Linked DNA regions of Xenopus tropicalis. The protein of the gene in region 2 interacts with the protein of the main gene of each other region in a biochemical or structural test. Links are inferred from orthologs where the notes say so. Each region holds a gene or a part of one and is shown on either strand. Other genes may lie near its edges.

Evidence for each region.
Region 1: the proteins of atf3 (region 2) and jund form a complex in vitro, tested with the Homo sapiens proteins (2 studies listed by BioGRID and IntAct, with this or other methods). The link is inferred for Xenopus tropicalis from reciprocal best matches to the Homo sapiens genes ATF3 and JUND.

The regions. Positions count from the first base shown.
Region 1 is NC_030677.2:103,484,131-103,489,016, reverse strand, and holds jund (transcription factor jun-D), read right to left. Parts: upstream 3,492-4,886; 5' UTR 2,846-3,491; coding exon 1,946-2,845; 3' UTR 906-1,945; downstream 1-905. UniProt on the Homo sapiens protein: Transcription factor binding AP-1 sites.
Region 2 is NC_030681.2:14,462,764-14,468,223, forward strand, and holds the start of atf3 (cyclic AMP-dependent transcription factor ATF-3), read right to left. Parts: upstream 3,360-5,460; 5' UTR 3,196-3,359; intron 1-3,195.

The DNA.
Region 1 (4,886 bases), on a different chromosome or scaffold from region 2:
CCTTTAGTAAGATGCAATAGCTAAAAATCTGAATGTCAACCGTTTGTGCACAGTGGGCTCATTTATCCACACTAGGAAAAATTGCACATGTGCTGGAACTTATAGTAACCAACCAGCTATAAGCTTTTCTTAGCCAGCTGTGGATAGAACAATGCAAGCAAAAATGTGATTGGTTAAAATGGGTTACTGCCCTGGTGTAATTTTTCCACTGATAATAAGCCACAGTGAGTAGTCCAATATAAAATACATTTTGGTTTGATCTAAGGACAGTTTGTGTAGAGCAGGTAAAATAATTACAAGGACCACAGAATGGTTTATTTAATTTTGTGGGTATCCCAATCCCTGGGCTTAATTATGAATTACTAACATGCACACATATACCAGTCATACAGTTAAAAGCTACAACTGACCAGTCTTCATATCCAATACTGTAAAATACTGTAAATATGAAGCACAAGAAACTGACATTTACACAGTTTGTGTGAGGACAGTACATCTCTTAACACATGTGTGTGAATATTTGCACTGTAATACTCATACAAAATACAATCATGCAAGCTGAGGATAAAAAAACTTTAAAAATGTAACATACTGTACTGATAAGATGGGGCACAGACATAGTTAACTGAAAAAAAATATCAAAAGGGATAGCTTACTATTTAGTTAGAATAAAATTGCTTGTCATTTAATAAAGCAATAGTTTCCAACCATCCTGTGTGCTATTGAGTACACACACTGATCTTTTTATAGCTTACCTCTTACCCAGATATGAAATATGCACCTTTGTTACCAAATGGAAATATACATAAGATAACAGAATTCTAAAAAACTGCACCTTTTTATGAGGTTCTTGTGAAAAGACAGGCCTAAGAGATGTCATAGGAACACCACCAAGCAAACTCAACTCATTTTAACAATACTTTATTATATATAAGAGCACTGGAGTACTGTATATACTGGAATGTGTAGTAAAAAAACAGTTTGAAAACATTGTTCCCAGTATAACTTAATTATAGCAAACTGAACACTTCAAACAAAAGTTCTGTAAAATACATTTACATATCATACAAATTATAGCTCAGCATAGAAGATGCAGACATAGTGCACTCATGCACTTTAACTTCTTTGATACTGGATATTCCTGTATGTGTGGATTAGTTCAGTAGCTAAGAAGTTTCAGTGCAGGTTACCGTAGCCTATTCTGTCATCTGCTTTTGAAACGTTGTAAACATTTAAGGCAGTTTATATATAAATCAGCATTGATTGCACTTGGCATTAACATCCAACCAAGTTTGTCTCAAACATGTTCTGGATATAAGCATTACTGCATGTACAAACTTGTCTGTACAGCTCAAGACAGAACATATTACTGGAGTGAGCAGTGTCATTAGGGTCTAGGGAACAAAACCTTAACCCACAATAACATTCTGTAAGTCCTGATATGTATGCACTCTAGATTAATAGTAGTCACTGTTGTCTTAGGCCACCTCAAACTTCCTTAGAGTTGGTGTTATGGGGTTTAATTGGTAAATCTGTCTGTACTATGCAAATCAAGATTGTTTACATGAGGAAAAACAAACAAACAAAACAGAAACTGCAGCAACACTGGTGTCTCAAAAGTATCAGTCTCAATAAGAAACTTGCAGCCATAACACCATTGCAACACCGTGCTCCTCCACCTTGGTTGTGTTTACTTTTTTTTTTAATGGTCACCCTACATTAGATGACACTATTTGGTTATGGTCAGTAGTAATGGGAGTGGTTTGATGCTTCCCAAAGTAATGGGCCACCCTCCAGTCTTTGGTCATTTGAGTTGATACACTTTACAAAAATGACAAAGTCCCAACTAAATTTACTTAGTGAGCTTCTCAAAATTGGAATACAATTATTACAGGTGTAAGGTAAAGCAATGGATAGGTCTGAATAGTTGAAAAAGATCCAGTGCTTAGTAGGCTTGGACCTGTTGGGGCAGAAGCTGGCAGCCACTGTTGACATGACTCATGACCTTTTGCTTTAGTTGGGCCACCTGTTCCCTCAGCAGGTTAGCAGTAGATGCCAGCTCAGTGTTCTGTGTCTTAAGGCTCTTCACTTTTTCCTCTAGTCTGGAGATTCGCTCAAGCTTTCTCTTTCTGCATTTAGATGCTGCTATCCTGTTTCTCAGCCTCTTTCGCTCTGCTTTGATCCTTTCCTGTGTGTCCATATCTATAGGGGACATTGGTGGACTATCCCCAAAGCTGGCAACCTCTGGTACAATCTGTGGCTCATCTTTCAGAACCTGCAGTCTGGGTGGTGGAGGTGCTGGTTGCTGTATCATGTTTGATGGAGGTGGTGGGTATGGCACAGTATCAGTACTATAATTGACAGTGGTTCCCATAACCCCACTGGGGTAGCTGCTAAGGTTGGCATAGACAGGAGCATCAGAGGTTGATGGAGGTTGAAGGTTAGATCCAGCAGGCACTGAGCTTAAATCCAAACTGCCTGGTTGAACCCCCAATTGATTCTGTTTATGAAGATCTTCCAATGCTTTCACAAAGCCCTCTGCAAATTCTTGTTCCTCACTAGCCACCTTTGGGTACACAAACTGGCTAGTAGTAGGTGTGGTGGTGACCATGCCATTTGATTGGATGATAAGCCTCTCCAGCTCAGGAGAAGCCAACTTTAGTAGCCCAAGATCAGGGGAGGTCAGCAGCTCCCCATCGCGGAGGTGTGGCTTTAAATTAGCTACAACCTGGTCAGTCAGGTTAAGGTTCAGATCCTTTTTCATCATAGCGCTAAAAGGAGAAGTGTAGAGGGGAGCCTGAGAAACATTCAACACATCATCATGATAGAAGGGTATTTCCATCATCCCCTAACGCAAACTGAAGTAGAAGTGGGTGCGCAAAGGACACAAAGTGTACCCCTTCTTGCCTACACCCCTTGACTTTAGTCCAAAAGTTCTGATGCTTTGGCAAAGGAGAAAGGCCGAAAGGAATTAAGGCTTCCTTCTGCCACCCACTCTGACTACGGGACTTTGTTCCAAAGTAATGGGGCAGCGTAATCACTCCAAGGAGCCTTTGTTCCCTCTCCCGAGTCCCGAAGGGGGTCTGTGTGTCCCCGCTCCCTCGTCTTAAAAGTGTGACATGCCGCCTTGGACTTTCATTGCAAGAATAGAAACCACGTAGAAAATAATCCAGTGTCGGAGAGAGACATCAAGCAACTTTGGATACTACAGTCCTGCGCGTCCGTGTCCCCTCAGCTGACAGGATCCCTCTTTGTTATCACGGCTACCAGCGTCGCAGCAAAACGTTCTTTCCGTCAGTTTTCGAGAACCTCAGTTATAACTGGTATGAAAAGTCCTTTGCTTTGGTAAAGTTCCAGGTTTTGGGCTGGTTCTAATGTAGGCTCTTTGTTCCTATAATCATGCCAGTAACGGGATAGGCGCCTCCTCAGTGTTTACAAAGCCTTAACGCTCACCCCCTCCGGTCTTTCGCTATACACTAAACTGTATCGCTCCCAGTTAAGTTATATATATACCCTCCTCATCAACATGATGTCACCTACCGACCAAGAGATTGGTTCGCCATGACGTGAAGATATTCCTTCGTTTGCATAGTGGGTGTGTCCTGTAGGCAGCGAGGCAGGCTGGGTTGAGGTCATTTATTAACCCTTTTGTGGCTCGAAGAGCTACGCAGAACCTAATTGGGCGGCGAGTGTGTCACATGCCCCTATTTTTTTCAGAGAGAAAAAAAAAAAGAAATAACTCGCCTAAGTAGAGACGTCAGTGGATATTTATAGACACGTGTACAGGGAGTGCCTGGCGGCCCGAGTCGCTGGGATTTGCCGGTACTGACAGCAATCTGTGGTTGTATTTGGTACTTGTTTTGTTAATATATTTCTAGTACGCTTTGGTTCGCTAGCCCCGGCAGTGTTATATACTACAATAGACTGTTTATACTGTATCTGTTCCGTTCTATAACACCAAGGGCCAGGTTTAGCAAACGAAAGAGAATGTAATTATCAGGGGGCCCAGCTGCGCAGAGGCCCTCTGAGGAGGAGCAGGGAAATAGATCACTTACAAAGGAAGAAGTGTAATATTTGAAGGGGAACTAGATCCAAAGATATTTATTGCATAATTAAGGAAATTTGATCCTAAGCAACTTTAATTCCACATGTTCAATGGTTGACTCTTGAAACAGAGTACCATCCTCATATGTAATAAAAGGCACTAACTTTGCCCAGGAGCAGTAACCCATAGCAACCAAGATTTTTGCTTTGAAACAAGTGACCAGTGAATGCTTCCTGCTGATTGGCACTTATATTGTAGTGTCACACACTGTGACCTACAGCACTTACATTTGCCCATTTGTGTCTGTTAGTTACCCCTCCCATATAGATTGTAAGCTCTACAGGGCAGGGACCTCGTTCATCTTGTTCCTGACTCTTATTGCAACTGTACCTTGTATTTATTTGTATTTATTGTTGTACTTTGTATTTATCCATTATCTTTAACCCCCTGTTTGTATTAATGTATTCTACTGTACAGCGCTGCGTACATAAGTAGCGCTTTATAAATAAAGATATACATACATACATACATGATTGGTTACTATGGGTTACTGCCCCTGGGCAAAGTTAGCACCTTTTATTACATAATGTCCCAAGTGTCAGCTCTCCTCCTGCCCTGATTCCAGCTCCCATAATGCTTTGTTCTTTATTCACAGATCTGTTAATAAGCTCGCTTTTGTTACATTGCTTCAAAAGTCAGAAACAACATGCAGACTATGAAAAGGAACAGACACTATTTTAATAGAGATTATATTTATTAATAAGCTGGACGTCTTGACTGCACATGCTCAGTACATTAAATTTGCTAGTAGCACACAAGGGATTACTGGCGAAAAAGATAA
Region 2 (5,460 bases):
TAGCTATCTGTATAACAGAGCATTCTGTCACAGTGGCACAGATCCTATCTGATCCCCCCCATTGTAAGCAGCAGTCCTGCCCTGTTTTATGGCTGAGATTCTAGCTATCTGTATAACAGAGCATTCTGTCACCAGGCACAGATCCTATCTGATCCCCCCCATTGTAAGCAGCAGTCCTGCCCTGCTTTATGGCTGAGATTCTAGCTATCTGTATAACAGAGCATTCTGTCACAGTGGCACAGATCCTATCTGATCCCCCCATTGTAAGCAGCAGTCCTGCCCTGCTTTATGGCTGAGATTCTAGCTATCTGTATAACAGAGCATTCTGTCACAGTGGCACAGATCCTATCTGATCCCCCCATTGTAAGCAGCAGTCCTGCCCTGCTTTATGGCTGAGATTCTAGCTATCTGTATAACAGAGCATTCTGTCACAGTGGCACAGATCCTATCTGATCCCCCCATTGTAAGCAGCAGTCCTGCCCTGCTTTATGGCTGAGATTCTAGCTATCTGTATAACAGAGCATTCTGTCACAGTGGCACAGATCCTATCTGATCCCCCCATTGTAAGCAGCAGTCCTGCCCTGCTTTATGGCTGAGATTCTAGCTATCTGTATAACAGAGCATTCCGTTACAGTGGCACAGATCCTATCTGATCCCCATTGCAAGCAGCAACTAATTAAAGGGGTAGACAAACAACAATCAAAATGTACCTATTATACTATAATATTATATTCTCCTATCTTTATATTATACTTCTTGGAACTGTTGATACATTGGTTGTAACTGTTGGCAATGCAGCTACTAAAGCACAGTAATGTGCTGCCCATGAGAGCCGGTGCTCCAGCTGCCAGATCCTCAGCTCTAACCACAATCCTACAGCTGGAATTCCTGCCGGAACCCTGAGTGTGCTGTTCCTGCTGGAATGTACCGCCACCTTGAGGCCAGTACGTACACAGGACACAGGAGGGAGAAGTGAAAGTATTAGGCAGCAGTTTCATCACCAGGCTGCAACTGAAACCTCCCAGCGCGGGACAAAGGCAGCCCGAGGTTATGTGTGTACTGGTACTGGGTGTGCCGGGCACTGAACTGGGCTGCCTCTCCCACACACACAGCCAACTGGCCCTTCACTTCTTCATACAGAGGGCAAAGCCCAAACTCTCTGCCTGCCGGGATCTCCCTTTGTCTCCAATGTAACAATAATGAGCTTAAGGGAAAAGTTCAACTAAACTGCACTCACAACTACCATCCCAACGGGGCACTCACGGTCATACACATATACTAACCCATTCCTACAGCAGAGAGGCACAGTGAGAGCGAGAGAGACAGATGGAAAGTAAAGAGACTGCAAGAGATACAGGTACCCAGATACAAGAGTGAGAGAAATAAAACAGGCATTCAACTAGATGAACAGCTACACGTGGATATATAGACATGGAGTGATATACAGATTACAGAAGATATATAGATGATGGGACATAGGTAAATGAGAAATATATATGGCTAGATATAGAGATAATAGAGGATATACACCTGAGGATATATATATATATATATATATATATATATATATATATATATATATATATATATGAGATATAGAAATGAAAATATAAAAATGGGATATATAAATGAGACTATATAGAGATACGTGGATAATGGGAGATATATAATGACAGAATAAAGCTGACATGAGATATACAGACAGGATATAAATAATGAGAAATAAATAAAAGATGGGAGCTATACGTATGATATGACAGATATCCAATTAATGAGAGTTATATTAAGATAGACAGATACATAGCAGATACATAAATATATATATATATATAGTTAATGAAACATATATAAAAGATAGAAAATATACAGATAATAAGAGAACTATAGATGATAGTTTTATATATATATATATATATATATATTTATATATAAAACTAACTATCATCTATAGTTCTCTTATTAAAACTATCATCTATAGTTCTCTTATTATCTGTATATTTTCTATCTTTTATATATGTTTCATTAACTATATATATATATATATATAGTTAATGACACATATATAAAAGATAGAAAATATACAGATAATAAGAGATCTATAGATGATGAACTATAATGTGAGATACATTGATGATGTGACAAAATGGGAAATATAGAGATGCTGAGATTGATGATGAGAGATATTTTAATGACAGATATATAGCTGATAAATGACAGTGTACAATATATAGTTAATGATATAAAAATTATAATATAGTGTTAAAAAGAAAAATATAAATAGGATTATATAGATGACAGGAGATATATAGATAAAGATGATATATAAATGAAACATATACTACATATTGGAGATATATAAATGGGAGAAATGGCAGATATATATATATATATGATGGTAGATTTATAAATAAGTAAAGTTATCACACAGCGACAAGTCCCAGGCAATACTGTAATATCCCCTCCAAAGATAAAATTATAAAGTTTCCCCCATGTGTAACACAGGGACCGGTGTGGGGGATAAAATGGGGGGATCAGGGGCCACTGCCCAAACTCAGGCAGCGAATAAGCAAAGAATAAAGGGTAAGTAAGCACAAAGTAAAGCAAAACTATATATATAAATGGGAGAAATGGCAGATATATATATTTATATATATATATATGATGGTAGATTTATAAATAAGTAAAGTTATCACACAGCGATAAGTCCCAGGCAATACTGTTATATCCCCTCCAAAGATAAAATTATACATTTTCCCCCATGTGTAACACAGGGAATAAAATGGGGGGCTCAGGGGCCACTGCCCAAACTCAGGCAGCGAATAAGCAAAGAATAAAGGGAAAGTAAGCAGCCCAGGCACAAAGTAAAGCAAAACTATATATATAAATGGGAGAAATGGCAGATATATATATATATATGATGGTAGATTTATACATAAGGAAAGTTATCCCACAGCTGGAATAAAGGGTAAGTAAGCAGCCCAGGCACAAAGTAAAGCCCCTGTAAGAGCCAATGAGCGAGTCCCGCTCCGGCAGCAGAGTAGGGAAGTTTCCCGGAGTTGGGACCGGGCTGGTTACACAACAAGCTAGAGGAAAGTAGAGGAGTAAGCGCTGCGGCTCAGCCTGCCCGGCGGGGAAGTAGGGACTCAGGAAGAGAGAAAGTTGTACCGTTCGAGGCTCTGCCTCCCCGGTCCTTACCGTGCTCTTTCCGTGGGAAGTGAGGGAGAAGCGTTGCCGCTGGCTGTACTACTCGGCTGCCCGTGTGCCTCCCCCGCTCTGACTGGGAGAAGCTGTGGCAGTGCAGTTGCATCACCCCTTTATATAGCCGCGCACGGAGAGCGGAGGAATGTGGCCCGCCCTGACGTCATTCTATTAATAGCCCAGGCGGTGATGCAAGCGGGGGGACCGGGGAAGTAGTGCGGGAGGGAGGAGCGGAGGGAGGAGCTACACAGACACTGGGGGGAAGCCTCTGGCCATAAGAGGGTCATTATTAACTCCTACACGGCAGCGGTATGAGCCAATGGTGCCCAGGCGGGGACAATGACTGCAGGCTGCTGGCATGTGACGGCGGGAGGAGGATCCCAGCAGGGAAAGAGCAGGAAGAGGGCGCCTTTGGCTTGTTTGGCTGTTTTTATTCCTTGTTACCCCAGCGATTCCCCGCCTGCTGCCTGGAGGCACACATAACAAACACATGGGAGGCGGATGGATTCTGCCCTGCACCGTGCTGTCGGGTCACCTTCCTAATCTGCCCCCCAGCTTCCTCTCCTGATGCCCCCCAGCCTTCCTCTCCTGATGTCCCCCAGCCTTCCTCTCCTGATGTCCCCCAGCCTTCCTCTCCTGATGCCCCCCAGTCTCCCTCTCCTGATGCCCCACAGCCTTCCTCTCCTGATGCCCCCCAGCTTTCCTCTCCTGATGCCCCCCAGCCTTCCTCTCCTGATGCCCCACAGCCTTCCTCTCCTGATGCCCCCCAGCTTTCCTCTCCTGATGCCCCCCAGCCTTTCTCTCCTGATGCCCCACAGCCTTCCTTTCCTGATGTCCCCCAGCCTTCCTCTCCTGATGCCCCCCAGCCTTCTTCTCCTGATGCCCCCCAGCCTTCCTCTCCTGATGCCCCCCAGCCTTCCTCTCCTTATGCCCCCAGCCTTCCTCTCCTGATGCCCCCAGTCTCCCTCTCCTGATGCCCCCCAGCCTTCTTCTCCTGATGCCCCCCAGTCTCCCTCTCCTGATGCCCCACAGCCTTCCTCTCCTGATGCCCCCCAGCCTTCCTCTCCTGATGCCCCCCAGCCTTCCTCTCCTGATGCCCCCCAGTCTCCCTCTCCTGATGCCCCACAGCCTCCCTCTCCTGATGCCCCCCAGCCTTCCTCTCCTGATGCCCCCCAGTCTCCCTCTCCTGATGCCCCCCAGCCTTCCTCTCCTGATGCCCCCCAGCCTTCTTCTCCTGATGCCCCCCAGTCTCCCTCTCCTGATGCCCCCTAGCCTTCCTCTCCTGATGCCCCACAGCCTTCCTCTCCTGATGCCCCCCAGCCTTCTTCTCCTGATGCCCCCCAGCTTTCCTCTCCTGATGCCCCCCAGCCTTTCTCTCCTGATGCCCCCCAGCCTTCCTCTCCTGATGCCCCCCAGCCTTCTTCTCCTGATGCCCCCCAGTCTCCCTCTCCTGATGCCCCCCAGCCTTCCTCTCCTGATGCCCCCCAGCCTTCCTTTCCTGATGCCCCCCAGCCTTCCTCTCCTGATGCCCCACAGCCTTCCTCTGTTATACTGAACTACTGGGGCTCCACCAGCATCATCACTACTGCCAAATAGTGGGGACATATATATACACACACACACACACACACACATAAAAGGCAAAGTAGCTTCTGTTTGTATCATACAAAAAGATAAGGATAGGGCTGTGACTGCTGCTTGTACATGTGTTGTTACGTGTGTTATTACAATACAAGTCATGGAAATGACTTGTATTCTGACATCTTTTTTGTATGATACAAACAGAAGCTACTTTGTCTTTTTATAAACAATTTCTTTGCTTGTTATTGTAAATATATCTGCTAATATCTCCAATTGTTTCTTATATTTAATTTTCTTTTACATTTCAAATGCTGTTTTAGAGAGTGCTGGAACTTCTGTTGCAGATCATTTCAAGTTTTTTTGTTTGTAATGAAGTAAATAAATACTACAGAGGTGTTTAATTTGTTTTGTTATCCTTTTCTGTTTTGGTCATTGTGCTAATTTATCCTCAAGCTCCTGCTCTAAAGGGAAATAATGGGTATCAGGGTCTGTGCCACTGTGACAGAATGCTTTGTTATACAGATAGCTAGAATCTCAGCCATAAAGCAGGGCAGGACTGCTGCTTACAATGGGGATCAGATAGGATCTGTGCTACTGTGACAGAATGCTCTGTTATACAGATAGCTAGAATCTCAGCCATAAAGCAGGGCAGGACTGCTGCTTACAATGGGGGGGATCAGA